Mus musculus: one gene and its partner. The protein of the gene in region 1 binds, or shares a complex with, the protein of each later gene. Links are inferred from orthologs where the notes say so. Each region holds a gene or a part of one and is shown on either strand. Other genes may lie near its edges.

Region 1 (5,636 bases):
TTAGGTATTTTCCTCATTTACATTTCCAATGCTATCCCAAAAGTCCCCCATACCCTCCCCCCACTCCCCTACCCACCCACTCCCACTTTTTGGCCCTGGCATTCCCCTGTACTGGGGCATATAAAGTTTGCAAGTCCAATGGGCCTCTCTTTCCAGTGATGGCCGACTAGGCCATCTTTTGATACATATGCAGCTAGAGTCAAGAGCTCAGAGATACTGGTTAGTTCATAATGTTGTTCCGCCTATAGGGTTGCAGATCCCTTAAGCTCCTTGGGTACTTTCTCTAGCTCCTCCATTGGGGGCCCTGTGATCCATCCAATAGCTGACTGTGAGCATCCACTTCTGTGTTTGCTAGGCCCTGGCATTGTCTCACAAGAGACAGCTATATCTGGGTCCTTTCAGCAAAATCTTGCTAGTGTGTGCAATGGTGTCAGCGTTTGGAAGCTGATTACGGGATGGATCCCCGGATATGGCAGTCTCTAGATGGTCCATCCTTTCATCACAGCTCCAAACTTTGTCTCTGTAACTCCTTCCATGGGTGTTTTGTTCCCAATTCTAAGAAGGGGCAAAGTGTCCACACTTTGGTCTTCATTCTTCTTGAGTTTAAAAAATATGGAACGCTTCACGAATTTGCGTGTCATCCTTGCGCAGGGGCCATGCTAATCTTTTCTGTATTGTTCCAATTTTAGTATATGTGTTGCCGAAGCGAGCACCCAGCTACTGATTCTTAAAGTGATAACCAAACAGTATATGATTGCCAGTTGCCAGGACTCAAACCAATGCAGCTCCAAGCAACTGTAATTTAAATATTGCCAGAGCTGAAGAAGATAACTAATCAATTTTTTAAAAAGGGTATGTGGTAATTATAAGAATGTAAAAACCTCACTCAGCAAGCATAAAGCTCCTAATGTGTAATTACAGACTTCCCTTGACTTCTCTTGCTAACGCTAGTAATGGTTCTGTGAGACTATGCTGGTGTCTATGTTGGGCAAGTGTGGAAACAGGCTCAGACTTCCCTTGACTTCTCTTGCTAACGCTAGTAATGGTTCTGTGAGACTATGCTGGTGTCTATGTTGGGCAAGTGTGGAAACAGGCTCAGAGACCTGGACTTAGTCAGATCACGCTGCATGTGTCACTGCCAATTAATCAACTTTATTGTGGCTCACAAGGAAACCCGGACGACAGCCCTCTTCTTGTGTCCACCAAAGACAGACAGCATTTTCCAGTTTCCTGGGAGGAAGGATGAAGAGCTTTCCAGCCAGCATCTGATGATAAAGCAAGAGAATCCAGAAACGGCCAGTGGGGACCACTCCCTCCCTTGGTCCTGATCTCCAGAGCCCGACAGCAACTCCCTGCACTTACTGTGACTCCCCCCCCCCCCCCCCCCCGCCTGTTCTTCTGGGAAGGGTCCCCTTTCCTCTCAAGGAGTCTTGCAAGTATACCTCTCAACATTTCTGTCTGTCTTCGCCTGTAACTCCGTGTAAGTGTCTGACTCATGTGTCTCACTAGTCTTTTTAGGATAAAGATTGTGTGTATGTGGGGTTTGTTGTTGTTTTTCGAGATAGGGTTTCCCTGTGTAACAGGACTGGCTGTCCTGGAAATTGCCCCATAGACCAGGCTGGCCTTGAACTCACAGGGATCCGCCTGCCTTTTCCTCCCAAGTGCTGGATTTAAAGGCATGTGCCACCAATTCCAGGCTGTATGTGGGGTTTCTAAATTTTGTTTTTATTTATTTTTATTTTTTTAAAAGATTTTATTTGGGGTTGGAGAGATGGCTCAGTGGTTAAGAGCAGTGACTGCTCTTCCAGAGGTCTGGAGTGTCTGAAGACAGCTTACATATAATAAATAAATAAATATTTTCTTTAAAATATTTATTTATTTATTTTTTATATATATGACGAGTACCCTGTAGCTGTCTTCAGACACCAGAAGAAGGCGTCAGATCCCATTACAGATGGTTGTGAGCCACCATGTGGTTGCTGGGAATTGAACTCAGGACCTCTGGAAGAGCAGTCAGTGCTCTTAACCGCTGAGCTATCTCTCCAGCCCCTTGTTTTTATTTTTAAATTTTATTTTTAAATTATGTATATCTGTGTGTCGGTATGTGCATGTGAATACAGTGGCCCTCACAGGCTAGAAGTCCTCTCTGTCTTGGATTTAGGAGCCTCTACTCAGCTGTCCATACAATCCTTGTTAGAATTCTCTTCCTAAAGGTGTCATCCTTTAGGCCTCCCCAAAATTCACAGGGTATGCAATGAATGACTAACCTAGAAGAGCCCAACTGCCCATTACAAATATGGCTTCGATTGCTTCACTTCCTGCATCACGTGACCGGCTTAGTCATCATGTGACTCTGTCCGCCCCTTTAAGCCGGAAGGAACTTGCTGTGCTAGTCGGTTCCAAGAGCTATGATATCTGTCTGTGTTTTATTTGGTAGGTCTTCTATCCCTCCAAGGCACAGAAACTTCCACAGTCTTCTCATTCGCTGGTCCTGAGTAGCTCCAGTTTCCAAGATCTTCTGGAGAGGTAAGCGGGCAGGGCTACAATTTGCCTTGTCAATCTTGCTTCGGGAATTCTGCCTATCTAGATTATGGAATTCGGTGAGTTCAATTTTTTTTTTTTTAAATTCAGGGCATCATGGCTCTTTGAGGGCACAGATGGAGGGAGGGCTGAAGGTTGAAATCGATGGGGGAAAAGAGTGAAGAGAGTCTTCTTTGGAGTGGGCAGCAAACTCCCTAGCAGAGTGAATGAATGCAGGACGCCTCCAGGGTCTACGGGCACTGTCTAATCACTAATAAAGGTGGGAGCCTATGCTGTGAGCATCCACAGGCAGCTAAACTCTGGCCAGGAGGGTGGTTGCAGGGTAGAGAGAGTCTTACACTATTATCTTTCCTCTACATTTTCTTCTCAGAAGTGTGCTGGTGTCATGGCTGCCAGGCTCATCGGATTCTTCCTATTTCAGGCGGTATCTTGGGCATATGGTGAGTCTAGGATGGAGATGGAGGCATGAAGGTGTCCCCTGCCCCCAAAGTCCTCTGGTAGCCTTCCATTATGGTGCTGAAATTTCAGTAGGGACTCTGTAACTCTTTTAGAATGCCTGAGACATCTTTGGGCTGGGAGTATGGTGGAAGGATTTTTTTAAAAAAATATTTATTTATTTATTATATGTAAGTACACTGTAGCTGTCTTCAGACACACCAGAAGAGGGCGTCAGATCTCGTTACAGATGGTTGTGAGCCACCATGTGGTTACTGGGATTTGAACTCCAGACCTTTGGAAGAGCAGTCGGGTGCTCTTACCCACTGAGCCATCTCACCAGCCCGGATTTTTTTTTTTTTAATTGTTGTTCTGTCTCGTACCTAGCATGCCCACTCCCTCATAAACCCGCTTTGATGCCTGCCTCTGCTTGTGCCCTGCCTCCTAGGTGCCCAACCCTGCATCCCCAAAAGCTTTGGCTACAGCTCAGTGGTCTGTGTCTGTAATGCATCGTACTGTGACTCTCTTGACCCCGTGACCTTACCGGCTCTGGGTACCTTCAGCCGTTACGAGAGCACTCGACGTGGACGTCGGATGGAGCTGAGTGTCGGGGCCATCCAGGCCAATCGCACTGGCACAGGTAGCCACTTTATCTGTCCCTCTAAGCCTGGACCCAAAGTCACACCAGTGATCAGCATGTCCTCTTCTGGACTCTGACTTTTCCTCTTCTTTTCCCAGGGTTACTACTCACTTTGCAGCCAGAAAAGAAGTTCCAGAAAGTGAAAGGATTTGGAGGCGCCATGACAGACGCCACTGCGCTCAACATCCTTGCTTTGTCCCCACCTACTCAGAAGCTGCTACTCAGATCCTACTTCTCTACCAACGGTGAGGAGGGCAGAGCAAGGTGGTACACTGTAACTTATGCCCCTTTTCATACCCTGGCTTTATTTTATTTTTAAATTTTTTATTACATTTCATTATCTCTTGTGTGTGCTGTGCATGAGTGAGGGGGAGGTCAGAGGACAATTTTCGGGTGTCCACTGTCCACCATGGGACCCATGGGCTAGAGTCGGGGGTCTTCCCACGGAGCTGTCTTGCCAGGCTTTTTGCTCTTGCTTCCATACTTTTCCCGGACATTTGCCTCCCTTCCTTTTCTTCTCTCCTCGCCTCTGTAATGCTCCTGGAGTAGACCTCATGTGTTCCAGACAAATCTACTGTGTAGTCAGTGATGGCTGAACTCCTGCCTCTCGTCTCCTGAGTGTTGGAATTACAGGTGTGCATTAGCAAGCCCAGTTCACACAGTGTTGGAGCTCAAACTTAGGGCGCCATGCATCCTTGGCAGGCATTCTGCCACCTGAACTACATCCCCAGCCTGCCTCTCAGTTCTTACTCTTTCCCTTTGTCCCATCCCTACCTTGCTTTACCAGGCTTGCCTCGAACACTGTAGCCATGACTAGCCTCGAACTCTTTTCTGACTTAGTTTTCCAAGTGCTGGAATTACAAGTATTATGCCACCAAGTGTACCAGGCCGATGGTTCCTGACTCAGTGCCACTGAAATACGATCACCTTTTTCAATATTCTGCTAAGTACTTAGGAAATACATGTGCAGAGGGGCTTCGGTTTCACTTAGGTTCTGGTCTCCACAAGCCCACACCTAGACCCTGGCTCTGAATGAGGGCCTATTGAGGACTAATAACTGATTAAAGCCAATTTTCATACTCACCTTGTTTTATTTTATTTTATCTTATCTTATTTTGAGACAGGGTCTTGCCTTGTAGCCCTGGCTGGCCTGCTCACATTGATCTGGCTGCCTCAGCCTCAGGAGGAATGGGATCACAGGCATGGTACACTTGGCTCCATAGTCTCCTATTGATTCAGATCTCCCTATCTTGGCCATCAATTCCTGCAGGAATTGAATATAACATCATCCGGGTACCCATGGCCAGTTGTGACTTCTCCATCCGTGTCTATACCTATGCTGACACCCCTAACGACTTCCAGTTATCCAACTTCAGCCTCCCAGAAGAAGACACCAAGCTCAAGGTGGGCATTCTAGTTGCCTCAGCCCTATTGGATTGCCGTCTTGGGGCTGGGAAGGTCCAGGTTAGAGCTGTCTCTAGAGCAACATGGAACATTCTGCAGCCTATTTGACTTGGGGGTAAGAGGGTGGGGGCTGATGGTTGGACCTGATGCACTGGTAGAACTAGTATGTGTTCCAGCTCTGGGTGTCTCTCTCTTCACTGTTTGTCTCCAGATACCCCTGATTCACCAAGCCCTGAAGATGTCCTCACGCCCCATTTCACTCTTTGCCAGTCCCTGGACATCACCCACTTGGCTCAAGACCAATGGAAGAGTGAATGGGAAGGGGTCGCTCAAGGGTCAGCCAGGGGATATCTTTCACCAGACCTGGGCCAATTACTTTGTCAAGTAAGGGATCGTCAGGGCCCTGGGATCTGGACACCGTAGTCTACATCGTATCCCTTGACCTGCTCCACTTTCAACATTCCATGCCTTTCAGTTTGTTAGTTTTACCTATTGCCCATGTCTTGGTCCACTTTCTTGGCCCTGATCACTCAGGCCCTTTCTCTCTTGCCAGGTTTCTGGATGCTTATGCTAAGTATGGCCTAAGATTCTGGGCAGTGACAGCGGAGAATGAACC
Region 2 (4,373 bases), on another chromosome or scaffold:
GATAAAAAATAAAAAAATAAAAACTAAAACAAACAAACAACCCCAAAATAGTGGACTCTGAGAATCATGGACTCTGCCCTCCAGGATAGCTGAGGTCTGACGGCTGTGACACTAATGTCCTTAGTCCTACACGGAAGCCATTGCCTTCCAAAGAGAAGCAGCCTGGCTGCTCGACTCCTTATCTGAAGTGCCTCTGACTAGCAGTCTAACATTTCTCGCTCTGTCAGAAAAGTGATTGTCACAGGAAGCAGAGAGCACTTAGTGACAGGGAGCCACGAAGCACCGGCTGGGTCCAGAAGAAATGCCTCTCTAACCTGTGCACACTTCCTGGATCTATCTGTAATGTAAGCTACGGGCAGATGGACTTCCATCATTCGTCATTTTACAAATAACCCCTCAATATTTGCAGACACTGTCATTCCGTGTCACTGTCCTATGTGGCAGAGAAGCCTGAAGGGAGGGGGTTAGAAGTCATTGATTCTGTCCTCTCAGCAGCATATTCTACACCCAGACATCTCTGACTAAAATTGACAGTTAGCCTCTAGATGCCATAACTAACATTGAACTCTATTCTAAATGAAATATCTGCCTTACCCTCACCAACATTCCCAGTGCAACCTCTTGCTTCACAAAAGCACAACTAAAAATCCTCAGGAGCTCAATGCTGTCTACTTACAGACACCACCCCACCCCACCCCATCCCTTCCCCTACTTGATTCCTAACACACTATAAACCAATCAAAAGACTTGAGTTATTTTCCTGAAGATTAGAGCGAGACACAAAATGTAATGTTTTACAGAAGGAAAGCAGCCCCATTTGCTTGGTACACTGTATGGAGCTGTGATTCTACCCTGGGTACCACATCTTTCTGTGTAAGGAGGTGAACAGGGAACAACAACAGAAACACATACGTACTCTGAACACAAAGTTTGGAGAATGAAGCACACTGAATCGGGTCAGGCCACGGAACATTAACAAGCGATTCAGACATTGTATCTACAACAGGGGGTCACGAAGTCCCCTCAGCTCCCAGGGCCCAACCACAAAAAGTTTCTACACAAGTTTATTAAATACTTCCTAGACACATGAACACAGTTTTAGAGACACGATTTTATAAAGCAGAATTGCCAGCCATGTCACCCTGCTCATTTCCCTCTGACCAGGAGGGGCTTCTCGCTTGCCAGTGCTATGTTTCCTTCTTGACAGGCCAGGAGCCCATGAGGATGCAGGGTTCCCCCTGTCCTGGTCCAGGTCAGGGCAGCTCTCACATTCTCTCACCAAGCTCAGGCAACAGGTAAGTCCCATTAGGTTCGTATGAGGGGTGCTCTTTCATCTGCAGTTCCCTGAGACAGACAGAGAAGACACAGAGAGGTTAAACGTTCATGTCAGGAACTTCTGTCCTGATGTGAAGGGTTGAGGCGAGGTGGCAGAGGTGAAAAGAGAAGCTGATGGGGAGGCAGTTCCCCCACTTTTCTCTTCCTCTTGGCTGTCATTGCTCTTTAAGACTCTAACCCGGGCCGGGCGTGGTGGCGCATGCCTTTAATCCCAGCACTTGGGAGGCAGAGGCAGGTGGATTTCTGAGTTTGAGGCCAGCCTGGTCTACAGAGTGAGTTCCAGGACAGCCAGGGCTACACAGAGAAACCCTGTCACAAAAAAAACAAAACAAAACAAAAAACAACAACAACAACAAAAAAGACTCTAACTCGACCCTGTTAGAGGACAACTTTTCCTCTCCAGCCCCCAGTACCAGATCTGCAAGCTCCTCTCTGTGTATGGTCTGGACTATAGCCCTTAGCATCCTGGACCAAAACTGCCTCCTTCCTGGTTTGTAACCTACCAGGGAGCAGTGTCTCAGAGGCTGTAGATGCTCACCAATACTTTTGGAAGACATGAAGATTGATTATGGGGTGCTAATTAGCATTATTAGGTGGTCTGCTTTTACCTAGGAAAATTCTGCTGATGACACAGACTGGCAGATCCATACGTGGCAATGGTAAGCAGTTTGCCTTATTTCTAACTCTGGCGAGCATGAGTGAAAGCCACATAACAGATGGGTTTCCTCCAAGCTATGGTTACCCATTTGGTTTCAACCAGCTTCATCTCCTGCTTCACACTGCTCAGATGGTTTAAAGGATAACTGAAGGGAAGAAGTGTGCAGTAAAAGCAGAAACTGCCAAGCACTCAAGGGTGTCTGTCTGTGCCAGGCTTGGTGGTTCAGGTCTCTGTAATCCATCACTGAGAAGGCTGAAGCGTGAAGATCACAAATTCAAGGCCTGGCTAGACCACAGAGCAAGTTCAAGGTCAACCTAGGCAGCTCAGAGAGATCTCATCTCAAAATGCATTTGTTTTTAAGGACGAGGCATGTGTCTCCATGGTAGAGTGAGTGCCTGGCTTGTGTCAGGCCCTTGCCTCAGCCTCTAATTCCATAGAAACAGAAGGGCTTCTACAGGAGCCATGAGACTCCTGGTCACTTCAGAGGCCAATCTGAGCCGGTTTATCCCATTCCTCCTGGAAATTAATGGTTCTTATGCAACCACCTTTCACCATTGTTACAGAATCTCAACCATAACACCTCCAGATATACCAAGGATTTTTTTTCTTTTGGTTTTTCTTTTCTTTTTTTGGTTTTTTGATACAGGGTTTCTCTGTGTAGCCCTCCCTGGCTGTCCTGGAACTCACTCTGTAGACCAGGCTGGCCTCGAACTCTCGAACTCAGAAATCTGCCTCTGCCTCCCAAATGCTGGAATTAAAGGTATGCGCCACCCCGCCCCGGCTTATACCAAGAATTCTTAACAAGTGGTCTCTGGCCCCTTTTCTCTACAACATTGGAATTATTTTTATTACATATAATAACCAAGCTTCTTGAGAAACAATGAGTCAAATCCTCTATGCTTTCTACATCATCTGATCCTCTCCAGAAACTCATGAGGGAGACTCTGTTATCATTCCTTTTACAGATGATGAAATTGAGGCCATTTTAAGGGTCATATAGATGTTTATTGGTAGAACTGGGATTTGAACCCGGGCAGTCCAGCACCCAAGCTTAGGGGATTAAGGTTTTCTATTCTTGTTTCACACTATTTTTTTCAAAGATGTGAAGTTACCTCCTACGGGATGTATCCAAACCCATCAAGAGACCCTCAAACACCAAATGGCACCATTCCATTCTATCACCCACCCTGACTTTCTCAATGTATACCAGCCCTGGAAACCACTCAGTCCATCTGCAACTGTGAAAATCAGTGCTCCCCACCCCCCCAAGTCTATCCAAAGGAGCCAGCTGGCAGCCATGCAATAGATTATTGAGGAATCCCTCAGCTAGACATATCCACAAAAGATCAATTCCTCCACCCAGCACTTACCTCATCCATAGACCCCTGTCCTCGACACGCCAGCCACGTGAAAACCAAGCCAAAGAACACACCCAGTGCCATAATGATGTAGGGTATGTTGGTGACAACCAAAGTCGTGTTAATCACAGACTTCAGTTGATTTGCGGTCTCTTTGTCAATGAGGACACTCTGGAAGGGGGAGAAATAGCATTACCTTGAGGACTAGTTATCTCGTGTGTGCGTGTGTGCTCATTTCAAACAAACCATATATACCGAGAATTCACATAGAATAACAAAAGAGGGCGTTTGTTTACTCAACCGATTTTCTCTTGAAGACAAGTATAACTCATCATAGACTGAAAATAGAGAAAGATGCTAAGAAATGTAGAGAAAATATATGTTACCGTTAGAGTCTGAAATGTCCCCACAGGCTCCTGTTTTAAATGTTGGGTACCATCTTGTAGGACTGGTTTTGTTTTCTTGTCTGTTGGTTTGTTTGGATTTTATATTGAGATAGGCTCTCATTCTATACCCCTGGCTAGCCTGGAACTCACAATGTAGACCAAGGTGGCCTCCAACTTGTGGCACTGCCTCTAGATCCAGTGAGGTGTGACTCCAGCCTTGTGCCAACCACTCCCATCAACATAGCCTCCTTGCCACGACAGACTGAAGCCCTTCTGAAATCTCGAGCCATAATAAACCTTTCTCCTTTAAGCTGCTTCTGTTGCATCGACACAAAAATAAGTGGTATGGGAGCCTCTGCCTGGCGTCAGATGGGTCGCTCCAAATTCATCTTAGCATTTCTTCATTCTAGAATTGTCTCTGGCTACCTCAGGCCTGATAGAGGAGCTTTTGTTGCTATCTCTAGAACCTCGTTCCTTGTCCTTGAAACCAGCATAACAGTTTACTTGTTTGTGTTCAGTAACTGTCAGTTCCCTGAAAGCAAGACAGCTCAGCCACCTTCGCACCTGGGAGAGTACTCAGTACACAGCAGGTGCTTAATACTGGCTGAGTAAATGAATGGCTGAAACACTACAAAA

The links. The genes of interacting proteins can lie anywhere in the genome.
Region 2: the proteins of Gba (region 1) and Scarb2 are in contact, whole or in part, in a cryo-EM structure (PDB 9FJF), measured with the Homo sapiens proteins. The link is inferred for Mus musculus from reciprocal best matches to the Homo sapiens genes GBA1 and SCARB2. Residues at the interface, in NP_000148.2 of Homo sapiens: Leu130, Asn131, Ala134, Ile169, Glu190, Lys194, Leu195, Pro430, Arg434, Ile445, Thr446, Asp448; in NP_005497.1 of Homo sapiens: Lys161, Ala162, Tyr163, Gln164, Lys181, Glu183, Leu187, Phe191, Arg192.

The regions. Positions count from the first base shown.
Region 1 is NC_000069.6:89,200,561-89,206,196, forward strand, and holds the start of Gba (lysosomal acid glucosylceramidase precursor), read left to right. Parts: upstream 1-2,367; 5' UTR 2,368-2,526; intron 2,527-2,631; exon of another isoform or gene 2,632-2,800; intron 2,801-2,911; 5' UTR 2,912-2,926; coding exon 2,927-2,981; intron 2,982-3,424; coding exon 3,425-3,616; intron 3,617-3,714; coding exon 3,715-3,861; intron 3,862-4,886; coding exon 4,887-5,020; intron 5,021-5,231; coding exon 5,232-5,404; intron 5,405-5,573; coding exon 5,574-5,636. UniProt on the Homo sapiens protein: Glucosylceramidase that catalyzes, within the lysosomal compartment, the hydrolysis of glucosylceramides/GlcCers (such as beta-D-glucosyl-(1<->1')-N-acylsphing-4-enine) into free ceramides (such as N-acylsphing-4-enine) and glucose.
Region 2 is NC_000071.6:92,442,941-92,447,313, forward strand, and holds part of Scarb2 (lysosome membrane protein 2), read right to left. Parts: intron 3,523-4,373; coding exon 3,364-3,522; intron 1,345-3,363; coding exon 1,306-1,344; 3' UTR 1-1,305.